4 linked regions of the Anolis sagrei genome follow. The protein of the gene in region 1 interacts with the protein of each later gene in a pairwise test. Links are inferred from orthologs where the notes say so. Each region holds a gene or a part of one and is shown on either strand. Other genes may lie near its edges.

Region 1 (7,873 bases):
AATATATAATTATATTATTAGTATTATATTGCAGTTCATTATAATATTATAAATATATGTATATACAATATATTACATTACATTATATTATATTATTAGCATAGCACAGGAGACAAGGTGGAACTGTCCCCTGGCTCCCTCTCTCTTCACTCTGGCCCAGAGCGGCAGTTGGAGCTGGGGGGAGGGGTCCCCAACTGATGAATATGCAGGAGGAGACAAGGTGGAACTGTCCTCTGCCCCCCCCTCCTCACTTTGACCCAGAGTGGCAGCCGGTGCTTGGGCGAGGGGTCCCCAAATGATGACATGCAGGAGACAAGATGGAACTGTCCCCTGGCCCCCTCTCTCCTCACTTTGACCCCGAGCAGCAGTCAGCGCTGGGGGAAGGGGTCCCCAACTGATGACATATGCAGGAGACAAGATGGAAGTCCCCTGCCCCCTCCCCCGCCCCAAGTGTGTTGTCAAAGTGTTGTCAAAGTGTGTTGGCAGTGTGTTGTCAAAGGATTTATTGGCTGGAATCACTGGGTTGTTGTAGGTTTTTCGGGCTGTATGGCCATGTTCTAGAAGCATTCTCTCCTGATGTTTCGCCTGCATCTATGGCAGGCATCTTCAGAGGTTGTGAGGTCTGTTGTAAACTAGGAAAATTGAATTTATATATCTGTAATGTCCAGGGTGGGAGAAAGAATCCCTGGCTGTTGGAGCTAGGTGTGAATGTTTCAATTGGCCACCTTGATTGGCATTTGATGGCCTAACAGGATTTTTTTTAGATGTGACTTGTTATTGCCTGGGGGGAATCCTTTATTGAGAGGTGATTCCTGATTGTTTCTTGTCTGGAGTTCCCCTGTGTTTGTGTGTTGTTCTTTATTTACTGTTATAATTTTAGAGTTTTTTTTTAATACCGGTAGCCATATTTTGTTCATTTTCATGGTTTCTTCCTTTCTGTTGAAATTGTCCACATGCTCGTGGATTTCAATGACTTCTCTGTGTCATTGAACAACTAGGGGTCCAACATTTCTGTGTTCTCAAATAATATGCTATGTCCAGGTTAGATCATCAGGTGCTCTGCTGTGGCTGACTTCTCAGGTCGAATTAGCTTGTAGTGCCTTTCATGTTCCTTGATTTGTGTTTGGGCACTGCATTTCGTGGTCCCTATGTACACTTGTCCACATCTGCATGGTATACGGTAGATTCCTGCAGAGGTGAGAGGATCCCTTTTGTCCTTTGTTGAATGTAGCACTTGTTGGATTTTCTTAGTAGGTCTGTAGATAGTTTGTGTTTTCTCACCAGGTTCCCTATGCGGTCAGTGGTTCCCTTGATGTATAGTTCCTTTGGGTGGATCTTTGCCTTTACTCTCGTGCCTTGTTCTTGGTCTTCTGATGTCTGTGGTGGAGTATCCATTGGCCTGTAAACCCCAGTTTAGGTGGTTCTGTTCGTCTTGGAGGAGATGGTTTTCGCAGATTCTTTTTGCACAGTCTGCCAGGGCTTTAATGGTGCTTCTTTTTTTTACTTGGGTAATGATCGGAATTTTTATGTAGGTATCTATCCGTGTGTTCTATAAACTCTGTGAACCAATTGTTGATCTGGTTTGCGGATGACGAGAACATCTAGAAAAGGCAGTTTTCCTTCATTTTCTTTTTCCATGATGAATTGGATGTTTCGGTGGATGCTGTTAAGGTGGTCCAGGAACCTGTTTAGTTCTTCTTCTCCATGGCTCCAAGTGGTGAAGGTGTCATTCACATATCTGAACCACATAGTGGGCGTTTTTGTTGTTGTTTCCAGGGCTTGTTTTTCAAAGTGTTGCATGTGGAAAACAATCCAACATAGCCAACATCACACATAAATTATATAAACAACAGTAACTTTCATATGAAATAATTAATTAAAATATGCAGCCAATAACGCCAGCGAGGTCAACTATACCAACCAAGCTAAAACCACCTGAATCAGAGTTTGGTCATAAGTTCAGAACAGGTAAATTGATTGAATGTGAACATAACAAAAATAAAAAGTAATCATGTATCTATACAGGTATCCCACTATTATTATTAATAATAATAATAATAATAATAATAACCCAGTCCTAGAAGCTTGGGAAGTGTTTGACTTGTGATTTTGTGATACGAAATCCAACATATATATCTTGTTTGCTGTGACATACTGTGTTTTTTGTGTCAATAATAATAATAATAATAATAATAATAATAATAATATGTACATATGCAGATGCCAATAATAATAATAGTAATAATTCATGTATATATACAGATATCCAATAATAATCATTTTCATCATCATAATCATGTACATACACATATCCAATAATACTAATTATTTAAAATAATAATATCATGTATGCATACAGGTATCCCAAAATCCAATTATTATTGTTGTTGTTCTGTTGTTGTATTCTGAAATACCTGAATACAAAATGATGAGATATGTTGTATGTCAAACCTCAAACCCAAGTCTAAACAAGGAATCTATGCATGTTTTATATATTTCTGATACATATACTTATTATACACACTTAAAAAAAATTGTGTGCATAAGACACAGGTTTTTTACACTGAACTGCCAAAAAGCATAAATGTCACTGTTTTAGCCGACAAGATGGTCAGTTTTAAATTTTGGAGTATTTTGGAATTCTGGATAAGGAAACTGCATTATCATGTCCTACCCATCCCTCTTCATGGATAAAGGTGGAGAACAACATACATCATCAGTTAAAACATATAGCTGATGTGTTTAACTAGCAGTTAAAGTAGAATCATAATGTTACAACGTTGTAGTATGTATCCACTCAGCAGAGCCTCCCTTTTTGTTTATGATACCTTTATTAAAACAAAAACTTTAAAATATAAAAAAATATAAGGAAAAATTAGATACACTACAGAACACAAAGTAACTACTATTTAAACTGCAAGTGTAAATAACTACACTATAAAATGACAATACAGAAAACAAAATGGGAAACATAAACATGTGACTTCCAATGTCCCAGTTAATGGTTACAATTGCCTGTTTCTTCTAATTTTATAATATAAAAACGGTTCTACATATTTGTTCATGTTTACTATTCTTCAAATCCTAGCACTGTTAATTTCCACCAGTTTCAGAAATGCAATTATTGTGAAAAATTTTTTGTGAAGTTATTTCTCTTTAGCCAAAATTGCTAATTTGTTATCCTTACCAAGCCACACAATGCCACCAACCAATCTTCTTGTGATGGGATGTTTGTATCTTTCCATCTCTGTAAATAAAGCAGCTTGGCAGCTGTAATCATGTACTGGAAGATTATTCCATCATTCCCAATCAGAAAAGTTCTGATTTCAGCTGGAATTTAAATTTCAAAATGTTCTCCATCCAACAAAGTATCTGAGGCCCCTTCTACATCCTATATCCCAGGATCTCATCCCAGATTATCTGATTTAAACTGGATTATATGTGTCTCCACTACCAGTAAAATCTCTGGGATAAAGAGATAATCTGGGATCAGATCCTGGGATATAGGGGCAGTGTGGAAGAGGCCTGAGTCCAAAAGTTTGAGCCTCCCTTTGGAAAGATTAGCATAGCAGGTTTCCTGTGCCTGTAATCTGTACCCTATAGAGCTGTATAGAGCACCATACATCTCTATAGAGCTTGATTTCTAAATTATTTCATATAGGATTGTGTTGTCCCATTTTTGAGTCCGGGGAATATAGCTCTAAGGACCCTTCTAGACAGGATCTACTGTATATCCCACGATATACTCTCTCGTCCATAGAGCCATCATAAGTAGAAGTGCATTATGTTGTAAATAAGGCCCCTTCCACGTAGCTGCATAAAATCCCACATTATCTGCTTTCAACTGGGTTATCTGAGTCCACATTGCCATATAACTAGGTTATATGGCAATGTGGACTCAGATAACCCACTTCAAAGCAGATATTATGGATTATCTGCCTTGATATTCTGGGGCCCCTTCTGGGGGGTCGTGAGGGGTTTTCAGAGGGGTCGCCAAAGACCATCAGAAAACATATATTTCTGCTGGTCTTAGGAACCCCTTTGGCAAAGAAGACTTTCCTTATTCGAAACGGCCGCGGATCCTCCCACCAAAAGCCCTCCTTCACTCTGATTGGCAGGCCTCTCAGGTGGCCTCTCAGCCAAGGGGAGGACTGTTTCTGAGACTCCAAGCAGGAAGGGGAGAGCAGGCGTGCTTGGCACATCAGAGCATGGTGGGCATGAGAGAGCAAGGGAAAGCATGTGAGGTTGGAGGGAGGCATACACCAGTATGGGGGTTCTGTGTGAGAAGTTTGGCACAATTCTGTAGTTGGTGGAGTTCGGAATGCTCTTTGATTGTAGGTTAACTATAAATCCCAACTACAACTCCCAAATGACAAAAATACACACCCCACAACCCCAACAGTATTCAAATTTGGGCGTATTGGGTATATGTGCCAAATTTGGTCCAGTGAATGAAAATCCATCCTGCATATCAGATATTTACATTACAGTTCAACACAGTAGCAAAATTACAGTTATGAAGTAGCAAAGAAAATAATTTTAAGTTTGGGGGTCACCACAACATAAGGAACTTGTAGTAAGGGGTCGCGGCATGAGGAAGGTTGAGAAACACTGTACTAGAGAGCCATGGAAGAACCCCATCTTGGTGGGATGGGAGAATCTTGGTGGGATGGGATGGGGGAAGGGGAAGGAGGAGGAGGAGGAAGAAAGAAGAGGAGGAACATGGAAGGAGAAATGAAGAGAAGGAAGGAGGAGGAGGAAGGAGGAGGAAGAAGGAGAGGAAGGAGGAGGAGGAGGAGGAGAGGAGGGAGGAGGAGCTTCCAGATAAGCTGGGGGTAGGGTGGGGGAATCTCGGGTGCCAAGTCCCGCCTGGAGTTTGCTTCATTCCACGAGTGGCAGTGGAGGAGGAGGAGGAGCCAGAGGGCCTGCCTTGCAGCCCTGGCGGCTCCAGCTGCGGCGCGGCGGGGGAGAGGACCTTCTCTGCTGCAGCTCCCTCTTCCTCCTCCTCCTCCTCTTCCACGATGCCTCCTTCCACGAGACGGCAACTGCGCCGGGCTCCTCCTGCCCCTTAGGGTGAGTAACTTCCAGTGGGAGAGGGAAATGAAATAATGGCCGGGTCTGGGGCGCCTTTTCCTACCCCGGTGCCCCCCCCCCCCCTTATCCTCCTCCTCTTCTCGCAGCCTCTTGTTTTGGGACCCAGGCGCTTCCTTTTAAGGCTCCCTCCGGGCACTGCGGCGGTGCGCATTTCCCGGCTGCTCTCTCCGACTTGCCTGCCTGCCTGCCTTCCTTCCTTTTCTTCCTTCCTTTTCTTCGTTTTTGGTCTGCCGCCACCTCCGTTGGCAACCTCTGCCTGCAGGCTGCTGTGACATCTACCTATAGAGCATCATCACCAACTCCATCATCCCCTGCTCTTCCTTCAGGCGTTGGGTTTCCCATTCATTCTCCCGCTTCTCAAACATCAACAGAAGATGCTGCTGGTGTTGCTGGGAGGAATGATTCCCCACCCCACCGCATCATCTGAGGTGCATCCTTCTACACCAGGCATGGGCAAACTTGGGCCCTCCCTCCAGGTGTTTTGGACTCTCAACGCCCACAATTCCTAACAGGTCCAGTATAGACAATTGGAGCCTGACTCTCACATGTCTGAACGTACACAATGCATGGACTATCTGGGACGGGCATGACTAAACTTGGGCCCTCCAGGTGTTTTGGACTCCAACTCCCACAATTCCTAACAGCCTCAGGCCCTTTCCTTTCCCCCCACAGCTGCTTTCCCCCCATTTCCTAACAGTCTCCGGCCCTTTCTTTTTCCCTCTCAGGCATGGGTAAACTTGGTCCCTCTAGGTCAGTGGTTCTTAACCTGGAGTCCCCAGATGTTTTTTGCCTACAACTCCCAGAAATCCCAGGATTTCTGGGAGTTAAAGGCCAAAAACATCTGGGGACCCCAGGTTGAGAACCACTGACCTAGATGATTTGGACACCAACTCCCACAATTCCTAACAGCCTCAGGCCCTTTCCTTTCCCCTCTCAGCCGCTTTCCCCCCATTTCCTAACAGTCTCCGGCCCATTCCTTTTCCCTCTCAGGCATGGGTAAGCTTGGGCCCTCCAGGTGTTTTGGACTCCAACTCCCATGATTCCTAACAGCCTCAGGCCCCTTCCTTTCCCTCCTCAGCCGCTTTCCCTCCATTTCCTAATAGTCTCAGGCCCTTTCCTTTCCCCTCTCAGGCATGGGTAAATTTGGGCCCGCCAGGTGATTTGGACTCCAACTCCCACAATTCCTAACAGCCTCAGGCCCCTTCCTTTCCCCCCTCAGCGCTTTGACACTGCTCGAACTGCCAGAGCTCCTTGCTATGGAACCATGGGAGTTGTAGTTTTGCAATGTCTCCAGCCTCCTCTGCCAGAGAGTCCAAAGATTCCACAGCTTCCAGTCAGAGTAGTTAAAGTGGTGCTGACATACATTAATTCTATAATGTAAATGTATAGAGTTTCTTAGGCAAGGGGGACTATATTATAAACCGCTGTGAGTCGCCCTTGGGCTTGAGATACAGCGGTATACAAGAATAGTAAATAAATAAATAAATAAATAAGTATATCCCAAGTCTTCCTTGCCTAGGAAACCCTATAAAATATCATGGGGTTGCCACAAGTCCCTGAGCGACCTGAAGCTACATACACTTGGATTTGTTTTTAATCGTGTCAGAAGCGAATTGAGTATATACTGTAAGTCACTTCTGGTGTGAGAGAATTTGCCATCTGCATGGATGTTGCCCAGGGGACACCTGGATGTGTTGCCATCCTGTGGGTGGCTTCTCTCATGTCTCCGCACAAGAAGCTGGAGCTGACAGATGGGAGCTCATCCCACTCCCCAGATTTGAACCGCTGACCTTCAGGTCAACAGTTCAGCCTGGACAAGGGTTTAACCCATTGCACCACCGCAGCTCCATACTCATACATTTGGTTTCAAACCACATTAATTCTACAGTGCAGAAGCACCTTGGGAAGTGGCCCAACTAACCCGTCCGAATGCATCTCCTCCTATGAACCAGCTAGGACATTAAGATCATGTGGGGAGGCCCTGCTCTCGGTCCTGCCTGCATCACAAGTATGTCTGGCAGGGATGAGAAACAGGGCTTTCTCAGTGGTGGCCTCTTCGCTGTGGAACGCCCTTCCTACAGATATTAGATGGCCCCCTCCTTGTTAGCATTTAGGAGGAAAGTGAAGACCTGGTTGTCCGAACAGGCATTTGAACAGGCAGTGTAATGAATATAGGAATATGGAACAACTGGATGATGAGACTGGATCTTGATTCTAACTATGAGATGCTAATGAGATCTTTTATTGATGTATAATTGATTATTATTATCCTACTGTTTTAATTATTTTTGACTGTTTTGTGATGTTTTGAGCATTGAATTTTGCTACTGTTAACCGCTTTGAGTCACCTGAGGGCTGAGAAAAGCGGTATGTAAATATAGTAAATAAATAAGTGGGCACAGAGTCACATAATCCTCCAATAATTAAGAATTGCCTGCAGGGCCAGGAGGAGGGCACACCAATTATAACTTGTTTCTGAATATTAGGTGTCCCGCTTCTGCACACATTATTCTTTTCCTTTATGATAGGTTATTTTATTGATGATCAGAAATTAAAGCAGTGGTTCCCCAAAGTTTGAAAATTTTTGAAAGAAGCTCACTTCAGGCCTGTTTTCTCAGACCAGTGCATTGTATTCAGAGATGGAAGTGAGGCCTTTTCTGCACAGCTGAATAAAATCCAACATTTTCTGCTTTGAACTGGAATGCATGGCAGTGTGGACTCAGATAACCCAGTTCAAAGCAGATATTGTGGATTATCTGCCTTAATATTCTGGGTTCTA
Region 2 (7,383 bases), on another chromosome or scaffold:
TGAAGGCATTAATACAGTATTATGCATTATTGAATAAAAAAATAATGGACTTGTACTGATCAATTCTGTTTTGTAAATTTTACAACAGGCACTGCATTGTTTCGCAGTGTTCCCACTATCTTGTGCTTTAATCCATAGCAAGAGTTGATATTTGAACAGATTAAAAATAAATTGCTTCTTGTACATATAGTTTTTACTATGGCTTTTGTCATTTCTCTCTTGTTTAGCCCTCAGCATACACAACCAGAACTGTGGTCCCATTCTGGCATTTAGGTTAAGATTAACAGGTTTTTTTCCATCCAGTTGAGCTCTTACCCAGACTTCAAACCAGTGGTTGCACAGTGCATATTCTGCATTACTCAATGGTGCCCAGTCATCGGCATTAGTTGTACAATATTGCTATTTTACATGGTATTGAATGGAGCCCCCAGTGGCGCAATGGGTTAAACCCTTGTGCTGGCAGGACTGAAGACTGACAGGTCAGTGGTTCGAACCCGGGGAGAGTGGGTTGAGCTCCCTCTGTTAGCTCCAGTTCCCCGTGCAGGGACATGACAGAAGCCTCCCACAAGGATGGTAAAACATCAAACATCCAGGCATTCCTTGGGTAACGTCCTTGCAGATGGCCAGTAATAGTACCACAGCATAGCTGCACATTTAAATGTTTAAGACATGTTGAGGGAATGTCGGATCGCAGGCACTGGATATCTTAAAGTATTCTATACAGTATACACCAAGGATAAGCAACTTTGGCTCACAAGATATTGGAATGCAACTTCCATCAGTTCTGGACAGCATAGCTAAAGGTAAAGGGTGCAATCCAAACTCACGAAGGGGCATAGTTGCCCACACTTAATTTATATTAGGAATGTTTCAAGCCAGAAAAACACTACTCACATAATTGGGAGACTGGGTGTAATCCTGAGGAGTGCAGAATACCAAAAATATTCAGAGGAAGCACAAGCAACTAAAGGAGTCCACTGTAACAGAGATTCCTATGGAACAGAGTGACCACCAGAGGGAGATGTACATTCAGTCTCGAACAAGTGGGGAGGGCAAAGCTTGTATTACATAAACTTATTAAGTGTAGGGAAAAAAGCTTTAACAAGCTCACACTGAGTTTTTCCAGTGTCCTCAATGAAGTCCAAAAATAGTATTAACAAGCTGCAATGATCAAAGATCTGGAAACCAAGCCTTATGAGGAACACCTGAGCTGACATGATGACTATCCATAAATATCAGAAGGGACGTCACGTAGAAAATGGAGCTCATTTGTTTGGGGAACTTGAATCAATGGATACAAATTACAAGATAAGACATTCCACTTAAACATGAGAAATAGATTATCTTAGTGGGTGGTAGACCTTTAAACACGTTGAATGGGCATCTTTCATAAGTGCTTTAGTTGTATATTCCTGCATGGCATAAAGTTTTTGTTTTTTTTACTATATTTCTATCCTGCTCTATCTCACCCCGAAGGGGACTCAGAGCGGCTCACAGTATGGCAATATTCAATGCCACATAAACAAAACAAATATGCAACACAATAAAACACAATTACTTTAGCAATAAAACAGATAATGAAATAAATACAATTAGAACTGTTAAAAACATGAGACCTGAAGTCGTCATACATGCTGCTACATCATGCCAATTCCATATTGCACTACTCCCCAAATGCCTGGTTCCAAAGCCATGTCTTTACTTTTTTCCCTGAAAACCAGGAAGGAGCCCAATCTAATATCACAGGGGAGGGAATTCCATAGCTGTGGGGCCACCACCGAGAAGGCCCTGTTTCTCATCCCCACCAGTTGTGCTTACAAATGGGGTGGGACCAAGAGCAGGGCCTCCCCAGAAGATCTTAATGCTTTAACTGCTTCATAAGGAGAGATATGTTCTGACAGGTAAGTTGTGCTGGAGCTGTTTAGGGCTTTATAAGCTAAAGCCAGCATTTTGAATCGGTAGCCAGTGGAGCTGACGCAATTGGGGGGGGGGGGTTGTGTGCTCCCTATATGCCACTCCAATGAGAAATCTGGCTGCTGTCCATTGGACCAATTGAAGCTTCCAAACAGTCTCCAAAGGCCACCCCATGTAGAGCGTGTTGCAGCAGTTAGACTGAATAGCCCTTGATAAACATTTGTAGGATGAGTCTGCTAAAGCAGAAGCAGGAATCTGCAACAATTTGCTTTTTTGAACGCAACCCTCCTTTCCATATAATTACAGCCTTGCATTGCTCAGTTGATGTACATGGGCATTCTTTATTTGATAGTTAACGCCCATTCTATTCAGGTAGATTTAATCCTAAATAAATTATTTTTAAATTATACATTGGACAATATATTGTATTTGGCAATGTCGGATTCCTGAAAACATGCAGATGAGCATTAAATAACATGATTAACAATAAGAATGGTTCCTGCAAAACCAACTTTCCATATAATTTTACTGCCTTGTCTTCAAATGGTTTAAGAAAAAAAAACATTAAAATATGAAAATGAGAAGGAATTCTGTAGCACCATAAAATTAATACATTTTATTACAGAATGTACTATTGTGGACAATAGTCCAATTCCTCAGATGCATGAAGTGCTACTCAGAATTTCAATTATGTATGCAGAAAGTAGTGTACAGTGAGTGATCTCAAGGTCAATTCTGTTCCAAAGGAGTCTAAAGTTCTGTGAAGGCCACATACTGCTGGAGGCTATAGATGGCAATGCCAAAGCGCTTAAAAGTATTCCTCAGCTAAAAAGACCCAGTGAAATTCATGGGGTCACTCTAGGCTGACAAGAGATTGGAAAGTACAAGAGAAAAATCATTTCTGGAAGGCCACACATTCCCAATGAGCACTGCCCAAAGTGGTGCCAATTCTTACTCATAATATTATACCTTTCAAGATAGTTGGGGTCCTTTTCATTCCACTATTTTCATACTGGCCAATAAGCCCAAAATGAGACCCCAGGTTGAGAACCACTGCTCTAGTGTGATGAGGCCCCAAGGCAGTGGTTCTCAACCTATGGGTCCCCAGATGTTTTAGCCTTCAACTCCCAGAAATCCTAACAGCTGGAAAACTGGGATTTCTGGAAGTTGTAGCCAAAACACCTGGGCACCCACAGCTTGAGAATCACTGCCCTAGGGGGACTTGGCCAGTTCCTTCCTCCGAAAAATAACCTACAGCAGGTGCTATTCACTGGGGGTTTCCCGCCCAAGTATTAACCAGGGCTGACCCTGCTAAGCCTCCAAGAACAGGCAGCATCTGAGGCCCTTTTATAGTCCTTAGGCAGAAAAATCCCCTGAGGGCAAGTCCCAGGGTGCATCTACACCAGGCATGGGCAAACTTGGGCCTTTCTCCAGGTGTTCCAAGTTTGGCCATGCCTGATCTACACTGCAGGATGAATCATAGAATCATAGAGATGGAGGAGACCTCATGGGCCATCCAGTCCAACCCCATTCCACCAAGAAGCAGGAAAATTGCATTCAAAGCACCCCTGACAAATGGCCAGCCAGCCTCCGTTTAAAATCTTCCAAAGGAGGAGCCTCTACCACACTCTGGGGCAGAGAGTTCCACTGCTGAACAGCTCTCACAGACAAGTTTGTCCTAATGTTTAGATGGAATCTCCTTTCTTGTAATTTGAAGCCATTGTTCCATGTCCTAGTCTCCAGGGCAGAACATAAGCCTCCTCCCTCCTCCCTATGACTTCCTCTCCCATATTTGTACATGGCTATCATGTCTCCTCTCCGCCTTCTCTTCTTCAGGCTAAACATGCCCAGCTCTTTAAGACGCTCCTCGTAGGGCTTGTTTTCCAGACCCTTGATCATTTTAGTCGCCTTCCTCTGGACACATTCCAGCTTGTCAATATCTCTTTTCAATTGTGGCTTGCCCCCACTTGAACTGGCTCAGTGCTATGGGATTGAGGGTTTTGTACAGGCACCCTCAAACTGCAGCCCTCCAGCTGTTTGGGGCCTCCAACTCCCAGAAGCCCTAACGAGCTTGTTCAATTGTCAGGCGTTGTGGGAGTCGAAGGCCCCAACAGCTGGAGGGCCGCAGTTTGAGGGTGCCTGGTTTTGCACTTTTGCTGAGGCACCACGACTCTTTGCAACAGGGGGCTCGAGACCTTGTCGAACTACAGCTCCCAGGATTCCAAAGTACCGAGCTGCTGCAGTTGGGAGCTGTGCACTCAAGAAAGTGGTGCCAAAAGCGATTGGCAGTGGATTTTTGTGTCGTGCAATGGCAAAAACACCCAAAGAGCTGGATTCCTGAGCGCCACCTCGGAAGGAAGGATTCCTGAGCGCCGCCTCGGAAGGAAGGGGGAAAAGGGCATTCAAAGGCCTTTCCTTTTCCCGCTTCCGCTTGGCGACCTTCCGCGGCCGCTCCTCCCTCTCTGTGGGCTTCCTGCCTTCCTTCCTCCCTCCCTCCCTCCCTCGATCAGCCATGACGCGCAGCCGCCAAGAGACCCTGGCCCTGCGGAAGCAGCTCATTGGGTGAGCAATGGGGGAGGGGGCGGGCTTGCAGGGGGGAAAGTCGGGAGGGCGCCTTTACCTTGTTGCCACTTCCTTCTTCTGAACTGTAGCTCACAGTCTATTCCTCCGCCAGTCAAGGACTAACCGGGGCTGGCTCTGCTTAGCTTCCAGTACCAGAATATTTTAAGGGGGGGGGGGGGGGTTGGTGCCTTCCATGGCTGCAGTAGAAAGTTTGTCCTGTGCCTGCTACAGACCATAGAAAATTACAACTCCCATGATTCCATGGCATTGAGCCAGGCACGGTTAAAGTGGTGTCAAGCTGCATCATTTCTATGGTGTAGATGCATCTTAAGTTTAAAATGTGGTTGCATCCCATTGCCTTCTCGCCTTTCCCATTCTCAAGTGTTGTCCCAGCAAGATGTAGTTTTGGTGGTGTAAGTTGAGCACCCCTTGCCCGAAACCCTTGGCGAGGGGATCCAAGTCCAAGTGCATAACCCATTTCTGTTTCATATATATCTTATACCCCTATGCACAATATTTCTAATAATTCTCTGTACAAAACCTCAATTTTTTCTACACTGAACCATCCATCAGAAGAAAAAGCTGTCACAATCTCATGGACAATTTAGGAACATTCCTGATTGCCAAGTAAACTCACCCCAATCTTGAATAAGGGAGCCAAGGTGGCACAGTGGGTTAAACCTTTGTGCCAGCTGAACTGCTGACCTGAAGGTCGGCAGTTCAAATTTACGAAACAGGGTGATTTTCCATCTATCAGCCCCAGCTTCCCGTGTGGGGCTGATAAGACGTCCGTTATATACACTGTTTAGTGTTGTTTTTATTTTGTTATATTGCTTTTGTTATTATTTTGTTGATACACATTGTGTTTTTAACTGTTCTGTGTAAGCCGCCCCAAGTCCCTTCAGGAAGATGGAGGTGGGGTATAAAAATAAAGTTATTATTTTACTGACACAGAAACACAGTATGACACAGCAAACAAGATATATATGCTAGATTTTGTATCACAAAATCACAAGTCAAACACTTCCCAAGCGTTTAGGACTGTGATGTATTTTCAAATGATGTGCGCAATTCCAAGTAAGGTGGCCTTTTGCAGTTGACAGATCGTGATTTTGTCAATGTTTATTGTTTCCAAATGCCGGCTGAGGTCTTTTGGCACGGCACCCAGTGTGCCAATGACCACAGGGACCACCTGTACTGATAATGGCTGAGTTTTTCCTGTTGTTTTTCCTCAGTGCAACTGTCACCTGGTATATTATTATTATTATTATTATTATTATTATTATTATTATTGGGACATGAGAGAAGCCTCCCACAGGATGGTAACACATCTGAGCGCCCCTGGGCAATGTCCTTGCAGACAGCCAGTTCTCTCACACCAGAAGTGACTTGCAGAATATTCTCAATTCGCTTCTGACACTTGAATAAATTCTCATTTGCCCAAATCCTATTGTTACTTCTAACTAGAGGAGAGCCATTCACTCAATAGGATTGAGCTAAGTATAGACTGACTTGCCAGTTCTAGTTAATACTCCCAACTATTGAGAAATGCTATAAAAGTCAGGGGCAGGGGCATGTTATAAACCCACATAAGTCAAGCAAATGTAACCATCAAAGAGAATTTCCCTTTTATTAGAATTGTTATTTTGGGGCAGCTCCAGATGTTGTTGCAAGCCCCAGCGTGATTAACAGCAAGAGTGCTAGAAACTGCAGTTTAACAACATCTGGAGGGCTCCTTTAATGGTGACTGCCTCTTGTTAACTAATGCCCCCTGCATACCAACATGTCCTCTACTATCGTTTGAAATAAAGAAATTTAAACTTACGGATGAATTCATATTCTGTACTTCTGGAACACAGTAGCTTTCTGTTCTGGGTTAGCAACTCCTTTGGACATTCACTCCCAGTCTCCTGAGAAATCCCTGCAGCTCAGCCACATGCGTATGTTTCAGCTAACATTACACAGCTGGAACATGTAGGTGAATTCACACAATTCAATGGATTTGCTCAAATCAAGATTAAGCACGGGATTTAGGACCAGGTGTTAATACTCAGTGTTAGAGAGCAGGGATTAAGCTTCTGGTGAAAACTAAGCAGGCTATGAAAGCACTTTCAGCCGGACTTGAAATATCACAGCCCCTTGAAATATCAGGCTTTTGACCTTATGAAAGAGGAATTCACAAGTAGGGCAAAATATAGGTTTCTGCAATGACTTTAGGGATAGGGCAGTATTTAATTTTGTATGAATAGATGTTTCCAGGCTCAGTTTCCAGGCTACAATCACTTACCTTTGCCAGGAGAGCAACAGGGGAGTGCAACTCTATTGACTGTCAGCTACTTTTGGTGCAATCCACCATGGTATCTGCTTATACAGCCTTTTGGTGCTGGACTTGGAGGTGGTTATCTGTAGATTTGGACTGGAGTACTGTAGTATGCTAGCATGTAGTAGTAGTTGGAGTACTGAACAAAAACTCTGGGAGACCAAGATTAAACTCTCTGCTCAGACATGGACATCCACTGGGTGATTGAGGATAATTCACACTCTCTCAGCCTCAGAGGAAGGCAGTGATAATCCCCCTCTGAACATATTTTGCAAAACAAATCAACAATAGGATCACAATAAATCAGAAAATACACAGCTGTTGAATGCAGACAACAGTATCTCATTTCCATTGATTAATTGTAGGAAGGCAGTAGAAACTTTCAGGTCTCTGGAAGTAATTTGGTTTGTATTTGAGCACACAAACTTCAACTTTACAAGATGAAAGTATTGTTGATAGGGGAACCTTTTGGTCTTGGTTGAGGTTTGCAACTGGTTTTGGATAAGGGTCACATTTCCCCTTTAATATGCATTTTGAAGATACTCCAGAACCACATTTTATCTGCAAAGGTGCAGTTTTGACTGGCT
Region 3 (7,771 bases), on another chromosome or scaffold:
CTATATGTCTGGGTGGAAGGGCCCTGGGAAACCGTACTCCAATTATTGTACCATAAAATGTGCAAAATAGTAAAAAATACAGCATCGTATCAAATCATTTATGTTGGATAAGTGAGACTCTACTGTACATATAATGATAGTATCATAATATTCTTCATTCATTCAGTCGTTTCCAACTCTTTGTGACCTCATGGACCAGCCCAAGTCAGAGCTCCCTGTCGGCTGTCACCACCCGCAGCTCCTTCATAGTTAAGCCAGTCACTTCAAGGATGCAATCAATCCATCTTGCCCTTGGTTGGCCCCTCTTCCTTTTTCCTTCCATTTTCCCCAGCATCATGGTCTTCTCTAAGCTTTCCTTGTCTTCTCATGATGAGGCCAAAGTACTTCATCTTTGCCTCTACTATTCTTCCCTCCAATGAGCGGTCGGGCTGTATTTCCTGAAGTATGGACTGGTTGGATCTTCTCGCAGTCCAAGGCACTCTCAGAAATTTCCTCCAACACCACAGTTCAAAAGCATCTCTCTTCCTTCGCTCAGCCTTCCTTGTGGTCCAGCTCTCACATCCGTAGGTGACTATTGGGAATACCATTGCTTTAACGATGCAGATCTTTGTTGCCAGTGTGATGTCTATACTCTTCACTATTTTATCAAGATTGGTCATTGCTCTCCTCCCAAGAAGTAATTGTCTCCTGATCTAATTGTCTGCATCTGCAGTGATCTTTGCACCTAGAAATACAAAGTCTGTCACTGCCTCCATGTTTTCTCCCTCTGTTTCCCAGTTTTCAATCATTCTTCTTGCCATAATCTTGATTTTTTAATGTTTAACTGCAACCCAGCTTTTGCGCTTTCTTCTTTCACCTTGATTAGAAGGCTCCTCAGCTCCTCCTCACTTTCTGCCATCAGAGTGGTGTCATCTGCATATCTAAGATTGTTAATGTTTCTTCCAGCAATTTTCACCCCAGCCAGAAAAAGAAAATAACAATATAACACAATATAATTCCAATAATACAATATAATATTGTAATACACAATACAGTAATATTAATATTATGCTATGTGAATATAATATGTTGTATATACATATATTGATATTATAATATAATCCAATATAATTCTAGTAATACAAAATAATAAACATTGTAATATAGGTAAAGGTAAAGGTTTCCTCTGACATTAAATCCAGTCATGTATGAATCTGGGGGTTGGTGCTCATTTCCATTTCTAAGCCGAAGAGCCGGAGTTGCCGTAGACACCTCCAAGGCCATGTGGCCAGCATGACTGCATGGAGCACTGTTACCTTCCCGCCGGAGCGGTACCTATTGATCTACTCACATTTGCATGTTTTCGAACTGCTAGGTTGGCAGAAGCTGGGGCTGAGAACGGAAGCTCATGCCGCTCTCCACATTCGAACCTGTGACCTTTCGGTCAAGAAGTTTAGTACCTCAGCAGTTTAACCCACTCTGCCACCGGGGGCTCCTACACTGTAATATAATAATAGTAAAATTGCACTGTGCGAATATAATATATTGTATATACATATATTGATATTATAGTATAATCCCATATTTCTAATAATAACACAATATAATATACATTGTAATTTAGTAATAGTAATATTGTGCTATGCAAATATAATATACTGTATATACATATATTGATAATATGATAATATAATACAATATAATATATATTGTCATATAATACCAATATTGTACTATGTAAATATATAGTATATACATATATTGATAATACAATACAATACAATACAATCTTAATAGTAATAATACAATATATATTGCAATATAGTAATACTAATATTGTGCCATGCAAATATATTGTATATACATGTATATATGGGCGCTAGAAACAACATCATACGAAAGCTGACTGGCACAACCTGGGGATCACAACCAGACACAGTGAAGACATCTGCCCTTGCGCTATGCTACTCTGCTGCTGAGTATGCATGCCCAGCGTGGAACACATCTCACCACACTAAAACAGTAGATGTGGCTCTTAATGAGACATGCCGCATTATCACAGGGTGTCTGCGCCCCACACCACTGCTTAGCCGGTATTGCACCACCTGACATCCGCCGGGAAGTTGCAGCCAGTAGTGAAAGGACCAAGGCAGAGACATCTCCAGCTCATCCCTTTTTTATTATTATTATAACTTTATTTGTACCCCGCTAGCATCTCCCAAGGGATTCGATGCGGCTTACACAGGCCGAAGCCCAACACAATACAACAATACAATACCTAAGAAAATAAAGCAAATCCCTTGTACGGTTCCGGTCCAGCGTATCTGTCCGAACGTATCTCCCTCTACGTACCACCCCGGACCTTGAGATCATCTGGGGGGGGCCCTGCTCTCGACCCCACCACTCTCACAAGTGAGGCTGGTGGGGACGAGGAGCAGGGCTTTCTCAGTGGTGGCTCCTCACCTGTGGAACTCACTCCCCGGGGAAATCAGGGCAGCAGCATCCCTCCTCGCCTTTAGGAGGAGGGTGAAGACGTGGTTGTGGGACCAGGCCTTTGGGCACTCCAGCAATTAAAGCAGACATTCAGGCGAGTAAGACCAGCAGGACTGATGAAGTGGAACAGGAAACTAGAACTATGAATGAGCAAACGCTGACCATGTAAAAGGAGAAATTGGGTTTGTATGGGGGTTTTATTGATTTTATGGGAATAATGTATGAATTTATGTATGAATTGTTAATTGATTTGATGTAATTTTGTGTACACTTGTTTTATGATGCAGGCATCAAATTGTGCCTTGCTACTGTAAGCCGCCCTGAGTCCCCTTCGGGGTGAGAAGGGCGGGGTAGAAGAACCCCAAATAAATAAATAAATAAAATATCAGCCAGCACGCCAACGACTTAAATCAAGACATAGTTTTCTTAGATCTACAGAGACACTCGCTGGAACACCCCAGCAAGCGAGAGTCCAAAAGTGGCAGGCCCAAACCCAGCACCTCAATCCCTGGGTGATACCAGATGAGAGACTCCCCCTGGGCACACAGAAGACTGGGCGACTTGGAAGCGCTGAACAAACTGCGCTCTGGCATCACGAGATGCAGAGCCAATCTTAAGAAATGGGGCTACAGGGTGGAATCCACGGCATGCGAGTGTGGAGAAGAGCAAACCACTGACCACCTGCTGCAATGCAACCTGAGCCCTGCCACATGCACCATGGAGGACCTTCTTGCGGCAACCCCAGAGGCACTCCAAGTGGCCAGATACTGGTCAAAGGACATCGAATCAACATTGAATCAATTACCAAGTCTGCAAAATCTGTGGGTTTTTTTAAACCTGTTTGTTTGTTTTGTTCTGTTAGAAATGTAATACAATGGTATGGTTGCTGATGACACGATAAATAAATATATATCCAGTGGGTTAAAGCACTGATCTGCTGAGCTTGTTGATCGAAAGGTCACAGGTTCGATTCTGGGGAGCGGCGTGAGCTTCCGCTGTCAGCCCTAGCTTCTGCCAACCTAGCAGTTCGAAAACATGGAAATGTGAGTAGATCAATAGGTACCGCTCCAGCGGGAAGGTAACGGCGCTCCATGCAGTCATGCCGGCCACATGACCTTGGAGGTGTCTATGGACAACACTGGCTCTTCGGCTTAGAAATGGAGATGAGCACCACACCCCAGAGTCAGACATGACTGGACTTAATGTCAGGGTACTACCTTTACCTTTACCTTTAGATACATATATAGATAATATAATACATTACAATCTTAATAATAATACAATATATATTGTAATCTAGTAATACTAATATTGTGCCATGCAAATATATTGTATATAGGTTCTTGTGGGTTTTTTCGGGCTATAGGGTCATGTTCTAGAGCAGGGGTCAGGAACCTTCGGCCCTCCAGGTGTGGTGGACTTCAACTCCCACAATTCCTTGAGGCTCGGCATTCGCTCCAAAGGCTTACCTTGGCCTCAAGGAATTGTGGGAGTTGAAGTCCACCACACCTGGAGGGCCGAAGGTTCCCCATGCCTGTTCTAGAGGCATTTCTCCTGACGTTTCGCCTGCATCTATGGCAAGCATCCTCAGAGGTAGTGAGGTCTGCAAGCCTTCAAATGCTAATGAAGGTGGCCAGTTGAAACATTCACACCTAGCTCCAGCAGAGCTCTTTGCCCCACCCTGGTCATTCCACAGATATATAAACCCATTGTCCTACTTCCAGCAGACCTCACTACCTCTGAGGATGCTTGCCATAGATACAGGCAAAACGTCAGGAGAAAATGCCTCTAGAACATGGCCCTATAGCCCGAAAAAACCCACAAGAACCTAGATTTTATTATTGTATATTTGCCATGTTTTTGATTGTGAGCCATTATTTTGCCATGGAAGAATGGGATTTTACAATGTCTGTAGCCTTCTGTGACAAAGAGTACTGGTACCTCACCAACTTAGCAGTTAAAGCAGTATCAAACCGCATTCATTCTGCAGTGTAGATGCATCTTGGACCTTGGGTGATGTTTTACCCTGGTCTAGGCGTGGCGAGGACCACCACCATGTGGGCTAGTGCAAACCCCCATGCAATGGCGCCCGTCTTCTCCCAACAAAAGGGAGAGCTGCAGTGCCCCCCTCCCACTTTCCCCATTGCTGCGCCTGCTGCCACACCCAGCTCTGCTCCGAAGCCCCCTCCCTCTCCCGCTACGTGTCTCTTTCCGCCGCCGTCCAATCAGAACGCCGCTCCTGACGCCCGCGGGCCAATGGGAGCGCGGACCGCCCGCCAGTTTATAAAACCTTTGTCTGGGCGCCCGGCCCGCCTTCCTGCCTTCCCTCTGCGTCGCCTTCGGAGGATCGAACCTTGAGCTCCCCAACGTTCTGAGTCTTAAAGGAGCGGCGCGCCTCTGAAGCAGAAAGGAACGAGGGAAAAGTAATTAAGAGGGGGGAAAGTGTTTTGAAAGCCAGGCAAAGATGAGGGAAATCGTGCACATTCAAGCTGGGCAATGTGGTAACCAGATCGGTGCAAAGGTGAGGATGGGTCATTGAGGTATATATTATTAAATTGGGGTTGCAAAAAAAGAAAAGTAATTCAAGCAATATAATTTTTCATAATTCAGGAGATTATTATTTTAAAATGTGGCCGAAAGGAAGTAGTCGGCAGAGCTGCACATTGGATGTAAAATATTGGCTTGGGAGGGGAAGGACTCGTTTTAATTCCTTTCAACAACAAGGAAAGGAAGGTGGGGCTGTAACGCTGCTTCCGGGGCTGTAACGCTGCTTCCGTTCCTTACAAAACGCTCTCCTATTGCAAAGTCATTTTTCTTTGGGGGGGCGCGCACATTAAATTTAAAATATTGGCGTGGGAGGGGGATGACTCGTTTTAATTCCTTTCAACGACAAGGAAAGGAACGTGGGGCTGTAACGCTGCTTCCGTTCCTTACAAAACGCTTTCCTATTGCAAAGTCATTTTTCTTGGGGGGGCGGGCGCATTGGATTTAAAATATTGGCTTGGGAGGGGAAGGACTCGTTTTAATTCCTTTCAACGACAAGGAAAGGAACGTGGGGCTGTAACGCTGCTTCCGTTCCGTACAAAACGCTCGCCTATTGCAAAGCCATTGTCTTTGGGGGGAGGGGGAAGGGGTAAAGGAAAGCTGGGTGGGGCGGCAACGAGATCCAAACGCTGTGAAAAGGAACGACGTTAAATAAGAACGCGCCATTATGCTTCCTCTTTCCCATCCCTATAATCACAGCGTTTTCCCAATCTCCAAGGTGTTCTTTCTCCCGCTTAACTACTCTGCTATGGAAAGTAACTCGTTACTTCCTCCTAAAGGGCGTGGAATTTGCTTCCAAAAGCACATTTTCCCCAAATATCTCCAGTGTTTTTCCTTATTTAACTACTTTGCAACGGAAAGTAACGCGTTGCTTTTCCAGAAGGAACGGCGTTACTTAACTGGCGTGGAATTTGCTTCCTCCCATAATCACAGCGCTTTCTCCATATCTCCCAAGTTCTTTCCTTCCGTTTAACTATTTTTAACAATGTAACGCGTTACCTCTCCCAAAGGAACGGCGTTACTTAAGGGGCGTGGGGTTCGCTTCCTCTTAACATGCATTCAGGTGGTGAAAAGGGAGGGAAGGCGCCCCCAATTCCCCGCCAACTAACGTCCTCCTTAACGTTTTTAGCGCCAAGGAGCTGCAACCAGGAGGAGGGATTTGAATTTTTTTTTTGCTAAAGGAAGTGGGAGGGGAGAAAAAGGCATGAGGTTTCCCGCACGAGGCTCTGAAGTGTGGGGTGAAAATAGCGGGCTTTATCTCTATATACCTTATCAATATCTTTTAACCATTGCTCTACAGTCTCTTTGTAATAAACACACATAAAGGGTTGGAGTTGGAGCAACAATGAGTAGCCTCTCCATTGTAATATGAATGCAGCTTGCTCCCATTATTAACTGCCATGGCTAAAGGGTGTGGAGTCCTGGGATTTGTAGTTTGGTGACACATAGAGTTGGAAGAGACCTGATGGGCTATCCAGTCCAACCCCATTCTGCCAAGAAGCAGGAAAATTGCATTCAAAGCACCCCCGACAGATGGCCATCGAGCCTCTGTTTAAAAGCTTCCAAAGAAGGAGCCTCCACCATACTCCGAGGCAGAGAGTTCCACTGCTGAACGGTTCTCACAATCAGGAAGTTCTTCCTAATGTTCAGATGGAATCTCCTTTCTTGTAGTTTGAAGCCAAAGTCAAAGAAACTATAAATCCCAAACAAAAAGAAAAGCCACGGGGCAGAGAGTTCCACTGCTGAACGGCTCTCACAGTCAGGAAGTTCTTCCTAATGTTCAGATGGAATCTCCTTTCTTGTAGTTTGAAGCCAAAGTCAAAGAAACTATAAATCCCAAACAAAAAGAATAGCCACGGGGCAGAGAGCTCCACTGCTGAACGGCTCTCACAGTCAGGAAGTTCTTCCTAATGTTCAGATGGAATCTCCTTTCTTGTAGTTTGAAGCCAAAGCCAAAGAAACTATAAATCCCAAACAAAAAGAAAAGCCACGGGGCAGAGAGTTCCACTGCTGAACGGCTCTCACAGTCAGGAAGTTCTTCCTAATGTTCAGATGGAATCTCCTTTCTTGTAGTTTGAAGCCAAAGTCAAAGAAACTATAAATCCCAAACAAAAAGAATAGCCACGGGGCAGAGAGTTCCACTGCTGAACGGCTCTCACAGTCAGGAAGTTCTTCCTAATGTTCAGATGGAATCTCCTTTCTTGTAGTTTGAAGCCAAAGCCAAAGAAACTATAAATCCCAAACAAAAAGAAAAGCCACGGGGCAGAGAGTTCCACTGCTGAACGGCTCTCACAGTCAGGAAGTTCTTCCTAATGTTCAGATGGAATCTCCTTTCTTGTAGTTTGAAGCCAAAGTCAAAGAAACTATAAATCCCAAACAAAAAGAATAGCCACGGGACAGAGAGTTCCACTGCTGAACGGCTCTCACAGTCAGGAAGTTCTTCCTAATGTTCAGATGGAATCTCCTTTCTTGTAGTTTGAAGCCAAAGCCAAAGAAACTATAAATCCCAAACAAAAAGAAAAGCCACGGGGCAGAGAGTTCCACTGCTGAACGGCTCTCACAGTCAGGAAGTTCTTCCTAATGTTCAGATGGAATCTCCTTTCTTGTAGTTTGAAGCCAAAGCCAAAAAAACCCTATAAATCCCAAACAAAAAGAAAAGCCAAAAGCCAGGCATGTGTTCCTCAAAAGGAAAAAAAGTGCCTACTTGGGAAATACAATGTGTCTTATTTTAAAACTGCTTCAGAGACACCAATAA
Region 4 (7,381 bases), on another chromosome or scaffold:
GTATTTCCTAAAAGGGAGAAAGAAGGGGGGTGGCCTAGTACCTTTTACAGCCGCTGGCATTCATCTACTTTAGCTCTGGTTTCCGCAAGCTTGCTACTCTGCACATTAAAGGCTATCTTCTGGTGTTGTAACGACTGCCAGATTATGCAAATATAGTTTTATTCATCACTATCAGCTCCAGCTCCATGCGGGACATGAGAGAAGCCTCCCATAAGGATGGTAAAAACATCAAAAAACATCCAGGCACCCCCTGGGCAATGTCCTTGCAGATGGCCAATTCTCTCACACCAGTAGTGACTTGCAGTTTCTCAAGTCGCTCTTGACCTGAAAAAAAAAATCCTTAGAGGAATGCAAAGGGCAACTTTCTCTGAGAAAATCTTGCCAATAAAACTGCACGGTAGGGTTGCCATAAGTCAGAAAGCACACAGCAACAATAAGTTCTTTGAACTTAATATGTTTTTCATCTGAGTAAACATTCATAGATTTTCTTTGTTATTGCAACGTTCCTCTGAGTAAACATGTTGCTGCACATTACCAATCCAGGGTGGCAGAATTTTCATAATTAGTCACCTAATAATAAGGCCAAGTGCCTCCAGGTAGGCCTGTTCCCTGGGAAGAGTATCATCAGTGCAAATGAAGGGGGCAGATAATCCCAAAGCCAGAAGTAGCGAGTCAAGAGCAACAAGGAAGCTGTAACAGGCTGCCGAGTTTCTTAATGCTCCGGAGCACTGGTGTCAGGCTGGCATACTTTCATTCGACAGTTTCTTCCAGGTGCCGGGATCCAGGCCACCACACAAATATCGTCACTGTGTAAGCTCCGGCAAGGGAAAACTGGCGACATCACAAAGCTCCAGCCCACACACAGAAGAAACCGTCTAGTCCATCTGGAAAACAGCAAAACCCCACAGACGACCTGACCGTGTCTGTTTAGAAGTAGATCCAGGCTGGATGAATTTCCTCCAGACAATGAAAGGCTTTCAGCCCATTCATAATACTAAAGATCAGCTTTCTCCAGAACATAATAAGTACCTTTATAGGTCATTTGCCTCTGGTCACCAAAAGCAGAATTTAGCCCAGAGGGTTGCCTGCACAAATCTGCCACAAACATTTTACGTAATGGCTGGCTCAAGGAGATTATTATATTTCTCTCTCTCTCTGCCTTTTCCCTGCATTTGGACATTACCTACAGTGAGGAGCCTGACCCCAGAGCCAGCTGCATTTCAGGGGCACTGGATGATCTCTGGGCACCCCCTGCCACAAATGGCACTGGAGGATTACTCATGGGTTCCACAAGTGGCTGGTGCCTTTGTTTGCTGGCAGCAAAGTGGAATGCGGGCCCTTGGCACTGAATGAAAAGGGCATTTGTTTTGGGCTTTTTTGCCTTGGCACAAAATGAGCTGTGGAGATCTATATCACTGCAGGTGTGTAAAAGCATCTCCCACCTGGGAATAACAGTGCCTGGAAGATTTCGGAGAGTTGGTTTTAAATGCTGCTGACAACCTCACGAAATGGGAAATGGTACTATCCATGATGGCTGGACCCTTTTTAATATGCTCTACTGATGGAGAACTAATGGTGGACTCAAGTGAACAATGCTGGTTTGGCCCAGGTAAGATTTTGCTGAGGTCTGAAAAACTCGCATAAACCGGCCTGAGATCCCAATGCACAACTAGCTTCACATTGCAGAGAGGACTCCTGAAAAGCATCCTCTCACAACAGAAAGGCATGACTACCCAAGAGGAAGTTGCATCCACATGCTGTCCCTCTGGGACACTGATCAGATAATCACTCAGGGGAAGCTGGACCAACCACTCTAGTTTTTATCCTGTGTTAGGTAGGTGGTGGGTGTATGTAAGTGTAAGCAAATGATTTTGTCTAATTGGGTTGCTGTGAATTTTCCAGGCTGTATGGCCGTGTTCCAGAAGCATTCTCTCCTGATGTTTGCTCACATCTATGGCAGGCCTCCTCAGAGGTTGACCTCACACAACCTCTGAGGATGCCTGTCATAGATGTGGGCAAAACGTCAGGAGAGAATGTTTCTGGAACATGGCCATACAGCCCGGAAAACTCACAGAAACCTAATGATTCCAGCCTTGAAAACCTTCAACAAAATGTTGTCTTATGCTTGAATGGCATCTAATGTTGCCAACTATTAGCCACTCTGAGTTCCTCTACAAAGGAGAGAGGGTGGGATATAAAACACAGTAAATAAATACATAAATAAATAAGCAAGGCTTTTAATGCTTTTGGAATGTGCACCAAAACTATGCAAAAATTACAAAATAGCAACTGGAGGATGGATGTCTCATGGGGAATGCCATAGGGGCCATCCAGAGAGTTCCCTACAGCTGTGATCCCCAGTTTACTAAAGGCTTTCCAGTTTACATGACTCAGGTTTTCAAGGCCTTTGCCTCAGCACTTGTTTTCAGTAAACATACATTGACTCCAGAATGTCTTAAGTAATAATGAAGAGGTTATCAGGTGACAGATCTTAAGAAATCTCTGGTTTCACCCGTTTGCACCTGGGATTAAGGGACAACAAGATTTTTCAGGTCAGTGGACCTAATGTTCAATCTAAATCAGGGAACTCCTTGATAGGTTAAGGTAAAGGTTTTCCCCTGACATTAAGTCCAGTCGTGTCTGACTCTGGGGGTTGGTGCTCATCTCCATTTCTCTTGTTAAATCCAAAATGAATTAGTTATGGGAAGGATCCATTTTACAAACTTGACTGGAGTAACACAAAGCAGCAGCTGTGGCTGGAGAGTTTAAGGCAGGCAAATGGCCTTCAAGGTATTTTGGACTTCAACTTCCACAATTCCTAACAGCTGTAGGAGGGCCGAAGTTTGCCCATGCCAAGTTTAAGGCATGGCTAAGATAGGAGCCCCTGGTGGCACAGTGGGTTAAAGCACTGAGATACTGAACTTCTGATTGAAAGGTCACAGGTTCAAATTTGGGGAGTGGCATGAGCTCCCGTTGTTAGCCCCAGCTTCTGCCAACCTAGCAGTTCGAAACACATGCAAATGTGTGTAGATCAATAGGTACTGCTTTGGTGGGAAGGTAACAGTGCTTCATGCAGTCATGCTGGCCACATTACTTTGGAGACGTCTATGGACAATGCCAGCTCTTCGGCTTAGAATTGGAGATGAGTACCAACCCCCAGAGTCAGACATGACTGGACTTAATGTCAGGGGAAAACCCTTTACCTACTAGATGGTATTTGGCCCTCAATTCAGTTGTGGACTTCAGCTTCCATCATCCTTTTCCAAAGACCTTGCTGGGTAAACCTGACCAAAGTGGATGAGCAAAACTCCTGGCAGGCTGGCATTTCTTCTTCCCCTGTGATCTGGAAGAGGGATCAATGTCACCTTCCATAGCATTCATTCTCAGAGCCACACAGTGCAAGGCGGCTGAAAAACTCAACCCACTGGCAACGGACTGGGGCCAAACTCCAACCCTCTCACACCAGGCGTGTCCTGCCTGAGAATCAGCCCTTTGAATCCGAACATGACAGAGAACTGCCATTGAAATCACAACAGATGCTCCCCTCACCCCACACCTGGTGACACAATGGGTGCCAATAGGTCAGAGGTTCGAATCTGACGAGCTCCCGCTGTCAGCTCCAGCTCCACATGCGGGGGCATGAGAGATGGTCGAACATCCAAACACTGGGGCATTCCCTGGGCAACGTCCTTGAAGACGGCCAATTCTCTCACACCAGAAGCGATGTGCAGTTTCTCTAGTCACTCCTGACATGGGAAAAAAACCCCACCTCCAAATGGAAACTTTACTTGCTCAACTTTCGAAGTAGGAGTTAGTCATCCACAATTGAGAAGTCGACACCACCCTTCCTTCTGCGTGAGTCAATCCCCTCCACGGTGACACTGAAAGGAATTCTACACCAGGCATGGGCCTACTTGGGCCCTCCAGGCGTTTTGGACTCCAACTTCCACCATTCCTAACAGCCTCAGGCCCCTTCCTCCCCCCCCCCCCCCCCAGCCGCTTAATGTAGAATGAATGCACTTGCAAGGCACGGTTGGGAAGGATACGCCTTGTAAAACTCCAAATCCCAGGGTCTTGAGAGCGGGCAGTTCAAGTGGGGTCAGGCTGCATGCAACCTTCATACATCCCCAGAGCATGAGGATGAGCCTGGCCCTGAATGGGGACTGTGGCCGGACGCGGGCCCTTGAAAGCTCCGCCTCAGGCAGAGAAATGACTTGGGCCAGGGACTCCCCGGTGCCTGCCGCCTGGGGCTGCTCTGGGCGGGGCTACTGCGCCTCCTCCCGGGGGCCCCGCCCTCCCCGCGCCGCCGAGCCGGCGGGGGGGGGGGGGTGGGAGGGAAGGAGGGAGGGGAGAGGCCTCGCTGGGGAAGGCGGGGAAAGAGAGGACGGGGGGGGGGGGCAATCCCGGTGAGAGGGGACCGAGTCAGGTGCTGCCGGCAACTCCAGGTAAGGGCCCCACGGGGAAGTCGCGGCGTGACTATAGAATGAGCCCAGTTTCGACGCCACTTTGACTGCCCTGGCTCAGTTCTGTGAGATCCTGGGAGTTGTCCTTTAGTGAGACACTCTTGGGCAGAGAAGCAGAAAGACCTTGGAAAACTACAGCTCCCCCGAATCCAGAGCGAGAGAGCGAGCGAGAGGGAGGGACATAGAGAGAGAGGGAAAAACATGATTTGTCGGGTTTGTTTTACTGTCTCGAAAACGGGCACCAGGACAACGTGGAACATCCCACAGTTGTTTTGGTCTTGAACCAGAGAAGCAGGAGAGGGAGTTGTGACCAGCGAATCAAAGGTGGTCCCAGTGGTGATCGGCACACTGGATGCAGTGCCTAAAGACCTTGGCCTGCACTTAAACACAATCAGTACTGACAAAATTGCCATCTGCCAGCTGCAAAAGGCCACCCTACTGGGATCTGCACGCATTATTCGCCAATACATCACACAGTCCGAGAGACTTGGGAAGGGTCCGACGTGTGATCCAATACAATAATCAGCATAGTGACCTTGTTTGCTGTGTTTTAATCTTGTTATGTTTCAAATAATAATACTTTATTTATAGGGTGCCCTATCTCCCCTAGGGGAATGCGTTGTTGAAGGCTTTCATGGCCAGAATCACTAGGTTGCTGTGAGTTTTCCGGGCTGTATGGCCATGTTCCAGAAGCATTCTCTCCTGACATTTCGCCTACAACCCTCCTCAGAGGTTGAGAGGTCTGTTGGAAACTAGGCAAGTGGGGTTTCTATATCTGTGGAACAATGTCCAGGGTGGGAGAAAGAACTCTTGTCTGCTTGAGTCAGGTGTGAATGCTACAATTGGCCAGCTTGATTAGCATTGTAGCCTTGCAGCTTCAATGCCTGTCTGGTTACTGCCTGGGGGAATCCTTTGTTGGGAGGTGTTAGCTGGCCCTGATTTACTCTTGTCTCAATTCCCTTGCTTTTTGAGCATTGCTCCTTATTTACTGTTCTAATTTTAGAGTTTTTTTTTAAATACTGGTAGCCAGATTTTGTTCATTTTCTTGGTTTTTTCCTTTCTGTTGAAATTGTCCACCTGCTTGTGAATTTCAGTGGCTTCTCTGTGTAGTCTGACATGGTAGTTGTCAGAGTGGTCCAGCATTTCTGTCTTCTCCAATAATATGCTGTGTCCAGGTTGGTTCATCAGGTGCCCTGGGAGACTTCAGTTTTTGCTCCTGAAGGGAAAAAGAGAAACTCTTTCCACTTGACTTCAGTATGGATTTCTCCATAATAGTAGTGCCAGCCTATGCAGGTCTAGTCAGCATTACATCCCACCAGATTCAATGGGCCTTGCTCCCCATCAAGGCAGAATTTGGAGGAAAGTTAACATTTAGAACTGCAGTTATCCCAATCCTTTAACTAGCACGGCCCCTGTCTCAACATGCCTGCCCTCTTCTCCTTCTATGAAGACTGTTGCTATTGAATATAGTCACGTAAAACATCAAATTGGAAAAATTGCAGTGCGAGTTTAGAAGGATTCTGGAGCCTGCAGTCCAAAACAAGTTTCTCAAATGATGCAGATGGATGTAAAGGTGCAAGGGACTAGAAGAAGAATGGGGAAATCCGTGGCCAGATGTTGCTGAACTGCAGTTCTCAACAGACCTAGCCAACATAGTGTGTGTCTACACCAGGCATGGACAAACTTCGGCCCTCCAGGTATTTTGGACTCCAACTCCCACAATTCCTAACAGCCTCAGGCCCTTTCCTTTCTTTCCTATACTTTTTCACTTAAGCGACTGAGGGGGAAAGGGAGGGGCCTGTGGCTGTTAGGAATTGTGGGAGTTAGAGTCCAAAATACCTGGAGGGCTGAAGTTTGCCCATGCCTGGTCTATACTATGTTGGCTAGGACTGAATGTAGTTTCACACCACTGGAACTGCCATGGCTCAATGCTAGGATATCATGGAAGTTGTGGTTTTACAAGGTCTTTAGCCTTCTCTGCCAAAGAGTACTGGTGCTTTATAAAACTACAATTCCCAGGATTCTGTAGCATTGGGCAGTGCAAGAAGAGGTGTGAAGCTGCATTCATTCTACTGTGTATAGATGCACCCAGAGTGAGGAATGTTGCGAATGCTGTGAGCTGCAGCATCTGGTGGGCTTTGGGGAGTGTCCAACTCTCAAAGAAGTCCTTTCTCTTGGGCTGGCCTTCTGCGAAAGCCAGGCGCTCGCACATGCTCAGAGGAGCTGCTTCTGAATTGTTGCTTCCTATGCTCTGAGGTGTGGAGAAACAGGTTTGGTGAGAGGGAGAGCCGGGAATAAATGACGCTGTGCCAGCTGGATTCAACCCGGTGACTTTTGAAAAGGAAGGACCTTGGAATTGGGAAGATGTGTTGATGAGCATTGTGTATTTGTGTGTGTCTGCAGGCAGTTTTCATTTGGTGGGAGCTGAGAACGGAGACCAATTGAAAGCAGCTTGGATGTGTTGATTTCAGCCAGTGACAAGCTCTCTTGGGTTTCTCCTAGGACCACACAGCCAAACGTTCATGTGAAGATTTGACCCAGAGTGACTGGAGATCTCTCCTGAGGAGGAAGACTTAGGACTGTCGCAATTTAAAAAGGTACATTCAACACATTGTCACGTGTTATCTGTCATCTATAAAAAAGCAGGGATTGGAGTGGGGAGGGGAAAGAAAATGGGTAACTTAATACCACAAGGGATATTTAGCCCAGCTCAACTCCACTGTTGCACTGGGTGAAAAGTAGCTACTATCAGATAGGTATGAAAATATAAGAACAGAGAGATTCCAAAGTCCTTATTGTTGGTAGTACAGGCTGTCCCCAAGTTGCAGGCAAGGCAGGTTCTGTAGGTTTGTTCTTCAGTTGCATTTGTATGTAAGTCAGAACAGGCACATTTTTGAAGTGTAACTCCAGCCAATAAG

The links.
Region 2: the proteins of LNX2 (region 1) and PHYKPL interact in binary tests that used the Homo sapiens proteins (3 or more experiments, as listed by UniProt). The link is inferred for Anolis sagrei from reciprocal best matches to the Homo sapiens genes LNX2 and PHYKPL.
Region 3: the proteins of LNX2 (region 1) and TUBB interact in a two-hybrid assay, tested with the Homo sapiens proteins (3 studies listed by BioGRID and IntAct). The link is inferred for Anolis sagrei from reciprocal best matches to the Homo sapiens genes LNX2 and TUBB.
Region 4: the proteins of LNX2 (region 1) and volume-regulated anion channel subunit LRRC8E-like interact in a two-hybrid assay, tested with the Homo sapiens proteins (3 studies listed by BioGRID and IntAct). The link is inferred for Anolis sagrei from reciprocal best matches to the Homo sapiens genes LNX2 and LRRC8E.

The regions. Positions count from the first base shown.
Region 1 is NC_090023.1:31,187,620-31,195,492, reverse strand, and holds the start of LNX2 (ligand of Numb protein X 2), read left to right. Parts: upstream 1-4,856; 5' UTR 4,857-5,073; intron 5,074-7,873.
Region 2 is NC_090022.1:88,355,745-88,363,127, forward strand, and holds the start of PHYKPL (5-phosphohydroxy-L-lysine phospho-lyase), read left to right. Parts: upstream 1-4,366; 5' UTR 4,367-4,426; coding exon 4,427-4,476; intron 4,477-7,383.
Region 3 is NC_090022.1:21,651,702-21,659,472, reverse strand, and holds the start of TUBB (tubulin beta chain), read left to right. Parts: upstream 1-4,762; 5' UTR 4,763-4,936; coding exon 4,937-4,993; intron 4,994-7,771. UniProt on the Homo sapiens protein: Tubulin is the major constituent of microtubules, a cylinder consisting of laterally associated linear protofilaments composed of alpha- and beta-tubulin heterodimers.
Region 4 is NC_090022.1:112,648,220-112,655,600, reverse strand, and holds the start of volume-regulated anion channel subunit LRRC8E-like, read left to right. Parts: upstream 1-4,362; 5' UTR 4,363-4,445; intron 4,446-6,965; 5' UTR 6,966-7,060; intron 7,061-7,381. UniProt on the Homo sapiens protein: Non-essential component of the volume-regulated anion channel (VRAC, also named VSOAC channel), an anion channel required to maintain a constant cell volume in response to extracellular or intracellular osmotic changes.